Oryzias latipes: one gene and its partners. The protein of the gene in region 1 purifies or fractionates together with the protein of each later gene. This does not show direct contact. Links are inferred from orthologs where the notes say so. Each region holds a gene or a part of one and is shown in the gene's direction. Other genes may lie near its edges.

The links. Proteins that work in one complex are often made in the same cells at the same time.
Region 2: the proteins of llgl2 (region 1) and partitioning defective 6 homolog alpha purify together in Homo sapiens (affinity purification with mass spectrometry; 5 studies listed by BioGRID and IntAct, with this or other methods). This does not show direct contact. The link is inferred for Oryzias latipes from reciprocal best matches to the Homo sapiens genes LLGL2 and PARD6A.
Region 3: the proteins of llgl2 (region 1) and dcaf1 purify together in Homo sapiens (co-immunoprecipitation; 3 studies listed by BioGRID and IntAct, counting the BioPlex papers as one, with this or other methods). This does not show direct contact. The link is inferred for Oryzias latipes from reciprocal best matches to the Homo sapiens genes LLGL2 and DCAF1.
Region 4: the proteins of llgl2 (region 1) and partitioning defective 6 homolog gamma purify together in Homo sapiens (affinity purification with mass spectrometry; 4 studies listed by BioGRID and IntAct, counting the BioPlex papers as one, with this or other methods). This does not show direct contact. The link is inferred for Oryzias latipes from reciprocal best matches to the Homo sapiens genes LLGL2 and PARD6G.

What each region holds. Positions count from the first base shown.
Region 1 is NC_019877.2:17,364,314-17,368,550, reverse strand, and holds the start of llgl2 (lethal(2) giant larvae protein homolog 2), read left to right. Parts: upstream 1-1,384; 5' UTR 1,385-1,634; intron 1,635-1,664; exon of another isoform or gene 1,665-1,947; intron 1,948-2,050; exon of another isoform or gene 2,051-2,105; 5' UTR 2,106-2,191; intron 2,192-4,237. UniProt on the Homo sapiens protein: Part of a complex with GPSM2/LGN, PRKCI/aPKC and PARD6B/Par-6, which may ensure the correct organization and orientation of bipolar spindles for normal cell division.
Region 2 is NC_019864.2:4,759,464-4,763,653, forward strand, and holds the start of partitioning defective 6 homolog alpha, read left to right. Parts: upstream 1-1,339; 5' UTR 1,340-1,659; coding exon 1,660-1,728; intron 1,729-4,190. Other genes in the region: putative proline-rich protein 21, read right to left, coding at 1-1,236. UniProt on the Homo sapiens protein: Adapter protein involved in asymmetrical cell division and cell polarization processes. Probably involved in the formation of epithelial tight junctions.
Region 3 is NC_019865.2:16,283,897-16,287,904, reverse strand, and holds the start of dcaf1 (DDB1- and CUL4-associated factor 1), read left to right. Parts: upstream 1-1,157; 5' UTR 1,158-1,393; intron 1,394-3,282; 5' UTR 3,283-3,300; coding exon 3,301-3,413; intron 3,414-3,490; coding exon 3,491-3,567; intron 3,568-3,656; coding exon 3,657-3,730; intron 3,731-3,829; coding exon 3,830-3,943; intron 3,944-4,008. Other genes in the region: protein SSUH2 homolog, read left to right, coding at 1-25, 150-255, 470-577, 665-805. UniProt on the Homo sapiens protein: Acts both as a substrate recognition component of E3 ubiquitin-protein ligase complexes and as an atypical serine/threonine-protein kinase, playing key roles in various processes such as cell cycle, telomerase regulation and histone modification.
Region 4 is NC_019869.2:23,943,873-23,947,906, forward strand, and holds the start of partitioning defective 6 homolog gamma, read left to right. Parts: upstream 1-1,183; 5' UTR 1,184-1,478; coding exon 1,479-1,550; intron 1,551-4,034. UniProt on the Homo sapiens protein: Adapter protein involved in asymmetrical cell division and cell polarization processes. May play a role in the formation of epithelial tight junctions. The PARD6-PARD3 complex links GTP-bound Rho small GTPases to atypical protein kinase C proteins.

The sequences.
Region 1 (4,237 bases):
TAGATGCCACTAAAGGCTATAGAAAGCATTGTCATATGGGCGCTGACGACCTCACCGAGATGGCGTCGCGTTCTGCCACAGTCAGCCAGGCTTCCCAAGCGGGCGTGTCTCCTCTAACGGTATAACTCATTGGCAAACGTTTACATGTATTTAAAAAAACATACAAGATGTAACTGATGGAACTTTACAAGGCTAGAAATAATCAATAAAAACAAGTAAGCAAGTGTCTCTTTTGCATGGGTGTCACACAGAAGGTAAATTGAATGATTTGATTAAGAAAAACTGTAAATAGAAATATGCACAGCAGCAGCTGTTTTAAAAAGGGGTGGGACCAAACAAAAACAATTTTTCTGCCCACTCCTTTTCAAGCACATTGTTTTGTTTTATTTTCCTATTTTTAACTCTTGTGTTTATTTTCAGTTTGTGTTTGAAATAATAAAAAATGTTTCAAATGTTGCAGTTTCACCAGAAAACACTGAAGGCAGGTTGTAGAATTAGATTTCTTTTACATACATGTTAAAATTTTTAATTTTATACCAAAAAAGACATTTGTATATCCAGGTTTCTTGGATATTATGTTTATCTTTATTAAATTATTTCTCAAGTACTATAGCTTTGATTTTATTGGAGCTCAAAATTGCACTGATTTATGGGTGGGTTTCTTTTGACCAATCGGTGAACCCATAAGGGCTTTAAACTTTACTTGTTCCGCCCAAATGCCATTCAGGGTTTTGAGCTTATGTTGGGCTTTATGTTATCTGTGTTGAATCCAATTTGGGAGATATCTATGTCTATTTCAACATGTCTATGGCTTAACAGCAGCACTGACAGCAGTTTCACAGGAAGACTTTACCTGCTTACATTTTAGTATTTTATTATTTCTATTAGTCCGAACACTGTCAGCAGACCTGTCTAAATCAAACCGCTTATCGTCATGAAAAACCTTCTGAAGTACAACCACAGATCAGAACATTCACTTACTTGTATTTCAGCCTAAATTAAAATGTGGGCATCATTGACTGCTGTGACAGAAATATAGATTGACCAAGAAGAAAAGGTAATCAAGTTAACTGACACATGAAGAGATGCAGGATTCTGAATGCAGACAAAGCTACTGGAAAAAGATGTTCCCCAGAATGCAGTTATATCCCCTCCAGCTTCAGAAGATCAGACCTTTCAGTTCTCCTTTATTATTCAGTCTTTTTTCTAGCTAAAAATAGTGTTTTTCATGTCAGAAAAATACAAAGAAATTTAATATTACTGTCGTCACAAAAGATACAATTTAAGTTTTTGTTTTTCAGTCTTGGAGAAGAAAATCAGCAGAGCATCCATCGAAGCTGCTATTTCCAGGAGGATAGTGAATGCCTCAGGGGGCGGAGTCAACAGGGAAGTGAAGTAGATCTAAGCAGGAAGCAGCGAACCTTCCGCCGCTGAGGAACGGACAAACCTGGCCGGAGTTTTAAACTGTCCACACGCGCGAAGGTTCCGGACCAGCAAAGCGCTGTTCAGACTCAGCAGTTGGACACTTTAATTGTAACCCTGTATAAGAACAGAAGTCCCGGACCACTGGGATTCGGACTGGAACCAGCGGCTGTCTCTTTCACAGCGGCGGACCAACTGCCGCGGTGCACCAGGTGGGTCGGGGGAGGGCCCAGAGGGATTCCGCAGTGCTGATCCCGCAGGTGTATCATATCGGTGCTGTCATCCTTAAGTTATAATGGTCCGTCACGGCCACGTATTGGGCGTTCTCGGGTCTTCTTGGTACCGCCGAGATGGAGGGTTCGGGGCGGACTGCCTAATGTATAAAATCGGTAGAGCCTTCGCGACGCGGCACAGGGTCCTGGTTCCGAACAAAAGAACCAGAACCAACCTCGGTCCCGTGTTATGGTAGATTCTGTTTACCAAATTAAATCAATTTGGATACAAGAGAGAAACCCGAGGAGTGAGGTTTGGCTAGTTTGTTGTGTTGTGAACTGATTTCTGAAGTTTAGCCTCCAGTTTTCTTCTGTGATTTGATCATCAACCGGTTCGGCTCTCCTTGTTCTCACAGTTCGGCTTTTAGCTCGGTTCGCAGTTCGTAGTTTCCGACCACATTTACTCGGCAGGGGGACACTACCGCGCTCGGCAAACCCGACATGAAGAGTGGGTGTGCGGCCCTCTTGGCGATGTGACGTCTCACCTGCGGGGAAAGGTGAGTTCATGTTCCGGCTGCTTGCGTAAAACACGGAACTGTGTCTGCGGAAAGGTGTGTCCGCTGCAGGCGTGTCCTCGAGGTTCAGAGTCAACCATCTGGGGGGGTTTGCAGCCTCGGAGAGTTGACGGTCCGGTTCTGAACCCAAACCTGCAGGACCTCCACGAGTCTGAAGAACTTTACAAAGACAATATGGCAAGCGAAACAAGTTATAAAAATCCCAAAGAAAAGTGGTATAAGGACACCATTTTGGCCTTAAAAAAATCGCCGATTTCTACGCCCGTTTAAACGTAGTACTAGTACGTAATTTATGCCGTCTTGTGTTGTTTCACAAGCTGTAATGTTTGAATAAATTGGCTTAGGCCAACGGTGACCATCAGTTGTCTGTGATAGCCTGGTGGTTTAAGCAGCAGAACCATATACTTTTTTCTCATCGTGTTTCTTTTTCTTTGGGTGACTTTTATCAACAGTATTATTTTGATCATAGTTCGTTTTTGTTGTTGCTCTTCTTCTTTTTTGTTGAGACTTTTCTTGATCAGTAAACTCTTGGTTTCATTGTAGTTGTTCTTAAGAAGATATTAATATGAATTTAAAATCACGTTTTGTTTGCCTAATGAAATTTAACCATGTATTCAAAAGTATCAATGCGACCGCTGGATTCAAACCCAGGTAATTCCAAGAAAAGCATTGCAAGCACGTCATTATTCCACTACACCAGTGTTTTTCAACCTTTTCTGAGCCACGGCACACTTCAACCTTGACAAAAATCCCGCGGCACTCCGGCGTTCAAAAAAAAAAAAAAAGGAGAAATTCGGTCTGTATAGATCTACAGTCCCTCCATAATCTCAGTGCATTTTTGTGATAATTGTGGCAGAAAAAGCTGGAAGCTGCAGCTGTATTTTTAAGATGTAATAAAAGTTAAGTCAAACGATTTAAAAACTGTTTGATTTGTGGTCGTTGTGGTTTCAGGACGTTAAGAGGAGAGAGTCGTGCGCCCAGACGCTCAGTGTCGCTTTACCCCAATGCATCATGGGAGATGTAGTTCAATTATCCGCCGAACGCAGAGAGACTAGCGTCTCTGAGCTTCATTGTCTTGTTCACTTGTTCCTCGGTCTGACACCGGATTCTGTGGAAAGCTACACCGCTAAAGACGAGCTTTGGCTGGTATTTTTCTTAGAACTGAGCGACTTTTTCAGCAGAATTCAGAACAAGGAAAAGGTGACTTTAACCACTTCTGATTGGTCAGACTGATGACATGTGATTAAGATCCCAAGAATGATTGGTGGAGACAGTTAAAGGGGCGGAACTTTTCCTAACGCAGCTGAAGCTGCGGCTAAATCGTGGTACAGTCATTCTTATGAAAATGTATTTAATAGAATCAAATAAACACAAAGAAAAAAGTATTTTACGATCTTTCATATTCCCAAGTTCTTAGTGTTTTATCATGTAGGGATGAACAAAGAACTGAAATCCTGGAGATGGAAAATGTTGTTAAATCAGTTAATGAGGGCAATTTCCCACGGCACACTTGACCATCTCCCACGGCACACTAGTGTGCCGCGGCACACTGGTTGAAAAACACTGCACTACACCACCTGTGAGCACTGAGAAACTGACTTTGTCTGTCTCCTAACAAGGGCGACTTAACACATGTTGCTGTACATAGACTTATTACCAAAGATGTGTTCATCCTTGAAGTCTTTTTTTTCTTTCAATGTTTAAATGGGAATCAAGCGTTTCTGTTGTAACAGCATGTTGGTTTGGTAATTTGATGACTACAAAAAGAGATTTCTTTATTGTCTCCAATATTTATAGTTTATTAATGTAATGCATACTTGTAAAAAACCAAAAAGATGAGGAAGAGCTACAAGAAACTAACTACAATCAAAATAAAACTGTTGCTAAAAGTCGTCAGCAAAAGAAAAGGATAACAAACGCAAAGAAATGGGTGTGTAAAGCCTGGAGTTGAACTCACAATTCCAGCATGAGAAAAAGGTTAAGTTGCTTAAACCACTAGTCCATTGCAGGTAACTGATAATCTCCGTC
Region 2 (4,190 bases), on another chromosome or scaffold:
GAAAGATGGAGGGTGGAGGATGGAGGGTGGAGGATGGAGGATGAAGGGTGGGGGATAAAGGATGGAGGATGAAGGATGGAGGATGAAGGATGGAGGGTGGAGGATGGAGGGTGGAGGATGGAGGATGAAGGGTGGGGGATGAAGGATGGAGGGTGGATGATGGAGGGTGGAGGATGGAGGATGAAGGGTGGGGGATGAAGGATGGAGGGTGGAGGATGGAGGGTGGAGGATGGAGGATGAAGGGTGGGGGATGAAGGGTGAAGGGTGGGGGATAAAGGATGGAGGATGAAGGATGGAGGATGAAGGATGGAGGGTGGAGGATGGAGGGTGGAGGATGGAGGATGAAGGGTGGATGATGGAGGGTGGAGGATGAAGGGTGGGGGATGAAGGATGGAGGATGAAGGATGGAGGATGAAGGATGGAGGGTGGAGGATGAAGGGTGGGGGATGAAGGGTGGGGGATGAAGGATGGAGGATGAAGGATGGAGGATGAAGGATGGAGGGTGGAGGATGAAGGGTGGGGGATGAAGGATGGAGGGTGGATGATGGAGGGTGGAGGATGAAGGGTGGAGGATGAAGGGTGGGGGATGAAGGGTGGGGGATGAAGGATGGAGGGTGGATGATGGAGGGTGGAGGATGAAGGGTGGGGGATGAAGGATGGAGGATGAAGGATGGAGGATGAAGGATGGAGGGTGGAGGATGAAGGGTGGGGGATGAAGGATGGAGGATGAAGGATGGAGGATGAAGGATGGAGGGTGGAGGATGAAGGGTGGGGGATGAAGGGTGGGGGATAAAGGATGGAGGATGAAGGATGGAGGGTGGAGGATGGAGGGTGGAGGATGGAGGATGAAGGGTGGGGGATGAAGGGAGGAGGATGAGGGATGGAGGGTGGAGGTCCTCTGGGTGCTGCTGCAGACATGGAGCCTTTCGTCCTAGGATGGAGGATAAAGGATGGAGGATGAAAGATGGAGGGTGGAGGATGGAGGGTGGAGGATGAAGGGTGGGGGATGAAGGGAGGAGGATGAAGGATGGAGGATGAAAGATGGAGGGTGGAGGATGGAGGGTGGAGGATGGAAGATGAAGGGTGGGGGATGAAGGGAGGAGGATGAGGGATGGAGGGTGGAGGTCCTCTGGGTGCTGCTGCAGACATGGAGCCTTTCGTCCATACACTGTGAGAATAGGGGTCGAGCAGGACGCTCTTTCTGCGGTCGGTTATTGGGTTCTGGGTTTCATCCATGTCGGTGCCTGAGCCTCAGGTGTGCTGCAGGTGTGAACTCTGTCTGCAATCCTCCGGCGGGAGGGGGTCGGGTTCGTCCGGAGACAGCAGCGACATGGTCCCGCCCCCTCCGCTGAGTCCTCCGGGCTGGTCGGGGGTAGGGTTGGGGGAGGGGGTACCGGATTTACCGGACTCCACCTGTCACGATCTCTGCGCTGTTCATCTGCGCGTGCACGCATGCGCGTCTGGTTGGGGGGACGGGCGCGCGCAGACACGAACGACATGGAGCTGACCGAACCGGTTCTGGAGCAGGAAACCGACAAGCCTGCTGCGCGCTCTCGCCGCCTCCTCCATGGTTAGACTGGGGCGTTCAGAGGAGGAAGCAGCCGTGTCCGTCCCGGAGGACGCTTTTCCCCGCAGCCGACCGGACCGCCGCGGAGCAGCATGTCCAGAGCGTCGCAGAGCCGCACGCCCACCCGGGCGGCGGAGAGCGTGGTGGAGGTCAAGAGCAAAGTGAGTGCGCGGCGGGAACGGCACCGAGGGTGGGGCGCATCCGCGGCGGAACGCGCGGTGCGCCTCCACCGCTCCGGTTCACGGTCACGCGCCGCAGATCCACAGAGATCTGGCGCGTGGATCGGTTCTGCTCTCGGTTCTGTTCAGCATCATCCGGGTAGAGCAGGGCCGGATCCGCTCATTCCAGAGCCCCATGGAGGCAGACATGGGGCCTCTGTGGATGAGCAGAGACCCCCCCCCCCCACACACACACACACACAGAGTTCTTTTAGCAGAAGCAACAACAAAACCAAACATGTGGAACTAAAAAAGAAGCCGGATCAGACAGAGAGAGTCTGAGGATGTTTGTCTGTGAAACCTTCAGGGAAATGAGGGATTCAGTTTCTAAAAGCTTCACCTCTGGTTGGTAACTTTCCTCTGGCTCTGTGATGCTTAAGGATCAAATATTTGTCAGGGTTTCCATAACGGTTTGGTAAATGGAAATAATTTGGACTTTGGAAACGGTTCTGCTAATTGTCACTTTGGAAAGGATGTTATTATTATTGTTATTGATTATTATTAAAATGTCACCTTAAAACATTGGAGATTAGAGCTGAAAACAGCAAAAACTCCAGTAAAAACTTTGTTTATCCATCAGTCAAAAACAGAAAATTCCTAATCTTTTGGGGGGATTTTCCCTCATCGTTTATTTTTTTGTCCCTCATCCGTTTATTTTCATTGCTCAGCAGATTTTTCTTCACAGATCTTTCTTTCCTCCTTTTCATGGCTAAATCTCAGTTTCTAAACACTTTGTACTTTTAAAAAATGAAGAGACCTTTTGTCAGATTGTAAAAGCTTTGGAGGTAAATCGTGTTGAAGAGCTTTACTTGTCAACATTTAGCAAGTGATGGAGGTCTGCGTCTGTGTGTGTGTGTGTGGGGGGGGGGGGGGGGGTCTGTAAATGAATGAGGAACATTTCAGAGTCAGGCTGTTTCCAGCTGTTACTGCTGGGTGTGAGCTGGTATGTTCAGGAGCCAGTTTAATGGCAAAAATAATCCATATTCATAAAATATGAATGTTGAAACCTTTGGGCTGAACCCCCCACCCCCTCCCACCGGCAGGGTGCTGGTGTGTTTTGGGTCCAGACGTCCAGTCAGGGAGAAGTTGTTCCTTTTGGTGGATGCTGTCTCTGGTATGACATTGTGCTGATATTATGGTCTGTCTCTGTCCTGAAGGGGTCAGCAGACAGCCTCAGATCCTCTGAGGAAAGCTTGGAACAGGATGTCCCGCCACGTGTCCTCTATTTAAAGTGTCGTTTTCGGAATGAAAAGACACTGACTGAGATAAAGGGGACTCAGGATCTGGTCTTCCGAGTTCACACAGTCCCCTAGCGGACTCCGCAGACCTTCTCCGTCCTGCTCATGACACGCACATCTGGAGGCGTCTGTGGGCATGAGGATTTGGTCGGTCCATGTTTTGAGAGCCAGATGTTGTCCTAAAAGCTGCAGAGCCGTAGAAGTCAGAGAAAAGCGTTCACAGCTGGAATTTACAGCGCTGTGCTCACCTGTCAGTGCCAAAGAACTGTGCTTATGTGGCCCAAATGTGTTCTGCTTTTCTTTTCATGTTGGCTGTTTGTTTCTCATGCGCAGGTGAGGGACAGTTGCACTAACTTCATCCCTGTGTACATAAAGACGTGCACGCTGGTGCACATCTGCTGGCTGCTAACAGATGAGCAACAGCAGGCTCATTCCAGCAGGAGATGCAAACTTGGAGTCGACTGAGGAGCTGTCAGCGTTTTTGTTCTTCATGAAGGCTGTGCTGATTCAGGACAGCTTTTTGCCCAAGTCCAGGCCCGTCATCTACGGTGCCAACGTCACGCTCAGCTGGGATGAGTAAGATGGCTCCAGCGTGTACACAGAAACAGCTGCCCATGCTTCAGTGTTTCCTTACACATTATTTTTGTAAAGTCTTTACATGACAAATGCAGTTTGTTCCAGCTTGTCGTGTTTTTCATGCAAAGCACAATTTTCCATAGACTTCTCTGGGAAATCAAGGAAATGAGGAAAAACGGAAGACAGAGAACTAGAGGGGAAGTGCCAGTAAAAACATTCAGGAAAATGTCTTTTTTGCAGTGAGCATACAGTCAGCTGTGGGATCTAAGTACAGGCGTATGCAGCAGCGTTCCCTCTGCAGGTCATTGGTTCTGTTGGGTTTGTTATGCACAGTACTACAGTCTTATCTGAATGATAAGACTTCACTGATTCTGTTTTTAAATCCATGCAAAGCCTAACCTGAAAAACATCTGTAAGTCTAAAACTGTCAGGAAATCTCAGGAAGAGGCACAGCTAACAGCCATTGATAACCATTAACCATTGAAATCCATGATATTGAATCACAATTAATCATATTAGCATATAATAAACTAGCTAACAAGTTCAAGATCTGAAATAACCTCTAAATTCATCCAAATCGTATCCAAAATT
Region 3 (4,008 bases), on another chromosome or scaffold:
TCTTCATCAACCTCACTGTGAAATGGTTGGAACAGCTGTGAAGCAGCAATCTATACTGTATATTTAGAAGAGAAATCTTTATAATAATCTTATTCGGTTAACATTTATTTTCCTTCTATTATTGATTATGTTTTTGTATTTCCTTGCAGGACTAACAACACTGATGATTATGTTGTGGAACAGCGCAGTGGACTTCAGATGGAAAATCTTCGTGAAGTGTCTGGCAAGGAGCTTTTCAAAGACTCCCAACCCATGGTAACAGTGCTTTTAAACTGTCTTTTTAGAATACAATCTGGTCATAAATGGTGTTTTTTATGCAAGTAAACAATCATTACATTTTTAAAATAATCTTTTACTTGAGTTGGAAGTTTTGTTTTGTTTTTATCAGTTCTGTATTTTTTTGCTTAAGTAAATGTACATTTTAAGAAGTGACCGTTGCTTATGTTATGCTTGTGACTGACTGTTTCAGGTGTACCCTGTGATGGGCTTTCCAGATCCCACTGTGGTACAGGCTTCCCAGCGTCTTGTCAGTGAACACCAGGGAAAATATTTTAAGACATCTCGCGTTTTGCGGCAGGTGTTTATTTATTTATTTTGGTATAATTGGATTCATTCAAAATCTCCTCAATTAAATCCATTCAAAATAACCTTATTTTCTTTTCAGCGCCAAACCATCGAGCTGATCCCTGTCACAAAAGTCACCTACACATGGAAAGGGGAATCCCACATTTATTTTGTTTATGGAAATGAGTTCAAAGTCAGTGCGGATAATTATCCTGCTACCTGTTGTTGCTCTGTAATGTAATTGTGGGAGCAGATGATGAGCTCTGTTTTAGCAATCAAAGCCACAGGATGTGTGGGTCAGTAAAACTGACTGAAATCACTTACCCATATATAAGTTGGAAATTACGGTGGAAATCAAAGCATAAAGGGAAAATATGGGACAAATGGAGGAAAAAAATGAGACTTTTATCAATTTAACCTTTTGACTAAATCAATCTCCAATTATGATTTTAATAATTATTATATTTCAATAATTATTATATTTGAATAATTACACATTAAATGCATTTGTATTTTATGTTGACTATATTTTTCATAAAAAATGCTAATAAACGAGTTTTATTTTTTCGAATGATGTCATTAACAATGGACGGTCGCAGTTGAATGACGTCAAGAACGTGTTCGCCATAATGATAATAAACCGTGAACAGAAAGCTGTAAAATAAGCGAATTAAGGGACGCCGGTAAAATTGTAATCAATGTATTATAATTCTTCAAACAGCAGCTAAATTGGGACTTATTTTGGTAGGTCGATTTTTTGTTTATATCGAGGATATCAAGCAGGAACTTGGAGGAGCAAGGTAAAGTTAGCGCTCTGGCTAACCACTAGGTAGGTTCATCTGTGATGCTTTTACTTGTACTAAGCCCACTTGTGTTTTGAAATACGAGTTCTTTTATTAATGTAAATGACATTAAAACATCTGACCATGATGTTTTTCAATTCCCGAAATTTGTGAGCAATTGTACGTTACAAATGTAGAGTTTTAAGAGACAATTGTGTCTAGCTAGCGCTTTAGGCTAGCTCAGCTGCCGTGTGAAGCAACTGTATTTGCTAAGCAAACAACAAAGCAAACAACAACGCATGAAGCACGGCACTTTCGTGTTGCTCAGGACAGCTAAAGAAACAAAGTAATGTCTTTAAAAACGTTTAAATGAATAACTTATACTTCAATTCTGACTAAATGACAATTCTAAAAAGATTAATAAGCAATTAACTTCGGGTCAACTTTGACAGTTGCATTCCCGTGAGGAACTCACACGTGCAGACAGTCGGTTATGAAGCAGTGAAGCGGAAATGTTTGTTTCCCCCAAGTCTTTGTGTCTGGCGCTTTTTTTGTGATACAAAATCAAATATTAACTGGATTTTTGATAAAACATTTGGAGGAGATAATTAAAAAACACGACTTGCATTATTATGGCGATTAACAGTCAACACTAGCTGTCGAAATAAAATATCAAAACGATTCGCTATTTAAATAAAACAACGACGGGTGGAAGCAGTAAAAAGATGACCAGAAAAAGCAACCCTTTTTTCGACTTGCTTACTAGGTTTAATTCTTGCCGAAAACAGTAAGTGCTGAACAAATCGCTACAAAAAATCATTAGAGTGAGTTTAAAAAAAGCTACCAGTAGAGAATTAAAAAAGGACGAATTTTCTTGTAATTATTAACCCTTGTGTTATCCTAAGGACTTTACCATTGGGAGTGGGGTCATCTAGACCCACTAGACAGTGCTCTGACTGAACCTTTTTTCTTCAATGACTTGTGATCTTCACTGGTGTCCACGGATTACATGAAATCTTTCCACCTCTATCCACCTTTGTCATGGTAGGGAGAACACGTCAAAGTAAGGGTGGGGTCATCTAAGATAGCACAAGGGTTAACCATGCCTTCAACAAGAAATATTACAAAAAGTACTACATGGGTTAATAAAAAAACCAGGTAGTTGAGGTCATATAGGGACGTGTCTGGTTGTTTATTTACCAGCAGGCAAAAAAGTTACATGAGTTTATCGGTTCCTGTTTTCTGCGTGATTCGTTTACACCAAAACAAGTCTTCAGTGCACCCGACCTTAGTGGATTATGTGACCCCCCCCCCCCCTTTTTTTTTAAAGCTCCAAAATTGACACTTTGAGCCCAATAGTTAGCTAAAGATTTGCCCTCATTTTCACTGGTAAACTTTAACACGAATGAAAATACCGTAGTTTTTGGTGTTTTTAACATTATGTGGCATTTTTTTCATTAAGAAACAAATAAGCTTAAAAATGTGTTTCCGAGTATGAAACTAAAACTGTCCTAAAAAGTGACTCAGGTTTTTTGTATTTTTGTGTGTGTTAAGTAAAACATGGCATCATCATAATTAAAAGACCACTAGGAATGTCTCTAAAATGGAATGAAAGATGATCGGAGAGGGTCTTTGAGTCTTTAACCGTTTTGTTCTGAGTATTTCCAGTTGCACCTGTGAAAAGTCACCATACTTCCTCAGAGGCAGTTCCTCACACAAAGTTTATAAGTGTTGAATGGAATTTCAGCCTACTGTTTTAATGTTCATCTCGTTGGATGTTTAATTGACTTTATTCAGCCTGTTAAGATAAATAGTTATATTTGTCACCAGTTCTTGGAGGGCGCAAAAAAATCTGTTATCAGTGCAATACTTGTCTGATTTCATGCTCCTACCCGTTTGTTAATTTAAATAAAGGGGTGCACTTTTTGTTCTTCAGGCCCTTCTAGGCATCACAATGGCGTCAGCACCCGCCAGTGTGGACTCAAAAGCGGAGCTGACTGCTCTGCTGGAGCAGTGGGAAAGGGAACAGCACGGCAGCACACAAGACCTGGTTAACCTTCTTACAAAGTAAGTGCGTCTCTGATTTTTTGTGTTTTATGATGTTAAAGGTGATGTTAAATCTCTTGATGTGCGGTAACTTTCAGAATATCTGAGCTTGTTGAAAAGGAGACAGAGGAGTACCACAAAGCAGACCCCGACCCGTTTGATGATCGGCATCCTGGTATGGAGAAGAGAAAAATACAAACAATTGCTCAAATACAAGTTTAAAGTTTCTTCTATGTTTTTGTATTTTTCCCTTTTGACCACCAGGGAGAGCTGATCCTGAATGTATGTTAGGGCATCTACTGAAGATCCTGTTCAAGAATGATGACTTCATGAACACTGTAAGAATGGATGAGCAAATGTATTCTTTTTTTCTTGTAAAAGTTAAAGCATATTCTATAGTCTACTCAGAAGATCATTTTAAAACGTCTGTATTTTAGTTGGTGAACAACTATGTGATGACGAGCAGGGAATTCCCCCTCAATGCAGCAGCTTGCCGTCTGCTGCAGAACATCATGCCTGGATTAGAGACAGCTGTGGTTTTTCAAGAAAAGGTTTGTTGTCTCTGACTTCATTGCCAATGTGTTTCTTTTTTTTTTTTTTAAACTTACTTCAAAAT
Region 4 (4,034 bases), on another chromosome or scaffold:
ATAGATAGATAGATAGATAGATAGATAGATAGATAGATAGATAGATAGATAGATAGATAGATAGATAGATAGATAGATAGATAGATAGATAGATAGATAGATAGATAGATAGATAGATAGATAGATAGATAGATAGATAGATAGATAGATAGATAGATAGATAGATAGATAGATCTTTTTTGTCATTATGTCTGGTACAATGACATTTAGAGTGCTTTTATACATTAAAACAACAATTTGCCATTATAACATGTACGACTAAAACAACATTAAATAATACATACAAAAAATATACCCCAAAAGTGCATTACTAAAAACAGAAAATTATAAATAAGTTGTTGCTAGGTAAAAAAAAAAAAAAACATATACACAATTAAAGAAAACGCCACATGACCACAGGACGATAAATAAAAAAAACATCCACCATTGCATGGTTCAAGCAGTCTAAAAGTTCTGGTTTCACTTGAATGTTTTTTTTTTTTGCCATGTTTAAAATATTAAGATGATTGTTAGTAAAGTTCTACAAGGTGTGATATTTTTTAGGTTGCAGGTTGTGTTCACCTCAATGTTATGGAATGAAGATAACAAGAGATAGAAGTTTCTTGGGCGGTTAGATAGTTTTGAAGCATCAATATTTTTTTTATCTTTTTGTTTTTTTTTTTTGCAGTCTCATTCATTCATAATGAGATTTAGAAGTTCACTACCAAACCATGAACACAGCTGCAAAGACAAATGAAATGGTATGTTTAAATGAAATATACTTAGCAAAATCAAGCCATAGGCCTTCTGCATGTTTGATTCTACTAGTCTTCTATAAATGTTTAGAACCTAAATTGTGCTTAAAAAGGAAAATAACTAAAATATTATTTAGTATTTTGTGTCCCTTTGTGCATGTTCGTTTTTCTTTTAAAAAAAAAACCTAATTGCTAATCTGTGTAGCTCCTGCGTCATAGCAAAAGTACGTCATGACGTTGTTAGTCCATTTTACGCAATTTTTGTCTGGATTTAGAATAATTATTGCACTAAGATTCTATAGTGTACTTCAGGTAAGCTATATTTACATTGCTATTCGCTTTCTGTACATATTTATTCTAACTAGCAGTACTTGAACATCATTGGTGTGGCTGCGAGGAAGCTATGATTTACGAGCAGGTCTTGAATGCAACATGATGCTTTTTTTTCTGAGGGCTGATGTCATTTCAAAACTTGCATTCTCAACTTAGCGCGGTCAGTCGCTTCCCATCTTTTCCACGGCGCAGTCCTCCCTCGCGTTTGACGGGGCAGAGTTGGTTTTAATAACGGCTTTTGAACGAGAAGCTTTAGACAAAAACCCTCATATCTGCAGGCGGTAGTAGAAGACTGATATTTTCGGCAGAAGCCAGAGAAACGGAGCCCCACTCATTACGGGCAGAGGCGGCTGAACTTTTTTTTTTTTTTTTGGTGTGTGTGGATTCTCTTTAAACTACAACCACAAGAAAATGAATCGGAGTTTTAATAAATCACAGCCTTTGCGACACATCGACTGTAACGCCGTGGAAGTGAAAAGCAAGGTGAGTGGGAGAGAGAACGGGAACTCACAGGAAAAATGGGATTGGGAGCGAAAATACAAGTTCTTGTTTGTCCTGTAACGGATCTTCGGGAGCTGTACTCGCTGTCGTACATTTTTCTTTATGGACACGGACATCGTTTTTGGTTTTGTTTTGTTTTGTTTTAGTCACAAGTTTTTAGAGTTTTGGTTTTTTAGTATTATGTGATGATTTAAAAAAAACTATCTTGCTGGCAGATTGTCATTGTGTAGCTCCAGAGTGAAAAAAAAAACTTGTTTGACAGTTTTGCAGCAAATCCTGGCTTTAGCCATACGGTAATTTTACATGCTAACCCTACAGTTACGATTTAAACTAGTTTAATCAAGTTGGTTCACTCAAATTAGTGTTAGCAGTCCGCATTGTCCGCAGTGTGTAATAATCCAGGCTGTGTAATAATCCCAGTTATGTAATTGGCTGCAGTCGTTTATGAAAGCTCCACTTTGATATTAGCTTAGCTAGTTTATATATGGGGTTTCCCTATCAAAATAATTGTATTTTTTTTTTTTTAAATGGGGAACTGATGGAAGAAAACTTGTTTTCCTCCCCCTTTGAAAAAAGCAAATAAAAAGTGTGACTTTTTATTTAATTACTACCAAAAAAGTATTACTTTTCTGAATAAATGTTGTTTTTAGTAATTTCTAATGTAGAATTTAACCAGGAGTCGTTATTGATTTTTATTTTTATTTTCAAGGACCGTAGATCTGCTTTGACAGCTAATTGGGATGTCTGAAAAATCCTATTCTATTAAGAGAAGCTTTTACTTTTTCATCTTTGTCCAGACAGTTTTAGTGGGGTGCTGGGGTCACGACCTGACCTGCTGTGAGATGGTTAGCAGATCCTCTGATAGGTGGCGGATAGCAGGCCGCTATTGCAGGATTGACCCTAAAAACAACCTGGGATGACATCTTTTCAAACTGACTTTTGATATCTTGTCTGGGAGTGTACCTGCCCATGATTTGTTTGTGGTTTTAAATGTTTGCATTATTGCTGGGATTACTCACTCACTGCGTCACAAGTTTTGCCCCCCCCCCTTTTTTTTCTTTTTTCGTTCGGACAAAACTCAACCTTCACGATTACTTTTTGTAATTTTTGGTTCAGATTCTCAATTTTTATTTTATGCCATCAAACCAAATTCCGTCCCAGGAACAGCATGCAGGATCATGAAAGGAAATAAGTGGCATGAATCCATTTGCTAAAGCAGCATAAAAATAAACATGTCTGCCACGTGGTTTTGTTATGATTGGCTTTTCTGTTTAAATATCTTTGTCAACAGAAGTAGAATCCCTATAATTATTTTAGAACTAAAAATGCAGGGATAAGAAACATTCTTTAAAATTTAGAGTTTTTGTGGTGTGTTAAATTTGCTATACAAACAAACGTCTTGTTTCTACGACGGAGTTTTAGGGCCACGGGGAGGAAAAAAAATTCTGGCCAACATGACGAGATTAAAGTCGTCATGTCGACTTTAATCTCGTCATGACGAGAAAAAACTCGACACAAAGTTTCGAGAAAAAACTCGTCCTGTCGAGATAAAAGTCGAAATAAAGTTTCGAGATTAAAGTCGCAATGTTGCGCGCGAGCAGTGAAGTTGAGTCTTTCAGGAATATTCTGTGTTATGGCTAATGTTAGTGAGCTAGTGGCTTTGTATTTAAGAGTTTACGACAGAGTTTTATGGCCACCAAAAAAAAGAAATTTTATTAGGAGATAAAAAACTCGTAAATTTACGGGAAAAAAGTCATAGATTAACAAGGAGAAAACCCCGAAGTTGTCTGTTTATCGGAGCCTAGCTTGAAGAGGAAATATGTGGAGCCTTTTGTGAAGCTTTATTTCAGGATTATAGGTTTAAAACAAAGAGATTCTGAGTCTTTTGGCGACTCAAAATCAGATTATTTTCCGTGTAGCAGTCTTTCCGGGGTTCGGTGTCAGTAAAGCGGACTTTCATATGTAAAATAAGGAGCTCAGAGACACGTTTGGGTGTAGAGGACCGCTGCAGCCTTTATTCTCCTTTTCATTCACATAACCTGAAGTTCATCTGTCACATTACGTCATGAACCTGTCATCCGATCACCAATGCGGAAGTAAACAGTGTTACATACGCCCCCTCCTGCAGATGAAGCGACCCGTTTGATCATTAAAAACAAAGATGAATGAAAATAGTCTATTATTAGCATTACAACGTTGAAAAAGGCAAAAAGTGCTTCTCCTCCTCAGACGGAAGCATCACACAAACGTAGAGATCTGGTCTTTGGTGGAGGAAGAAAGGATTCAAGCAAACAGCTGCAGGGACACCCGATGACGGCTTCATCGGGCTGCAGTGATCCTGCAAACCAACCATCAATAAATAAAACTTTAATAACTTGTAAATCAAACAAATGAGCTTCCAGACATTTGGAACGTTATCAATAAACATTCAGCTCACCTGTTCAACAAAGTTTAGTCGGTCTGCTC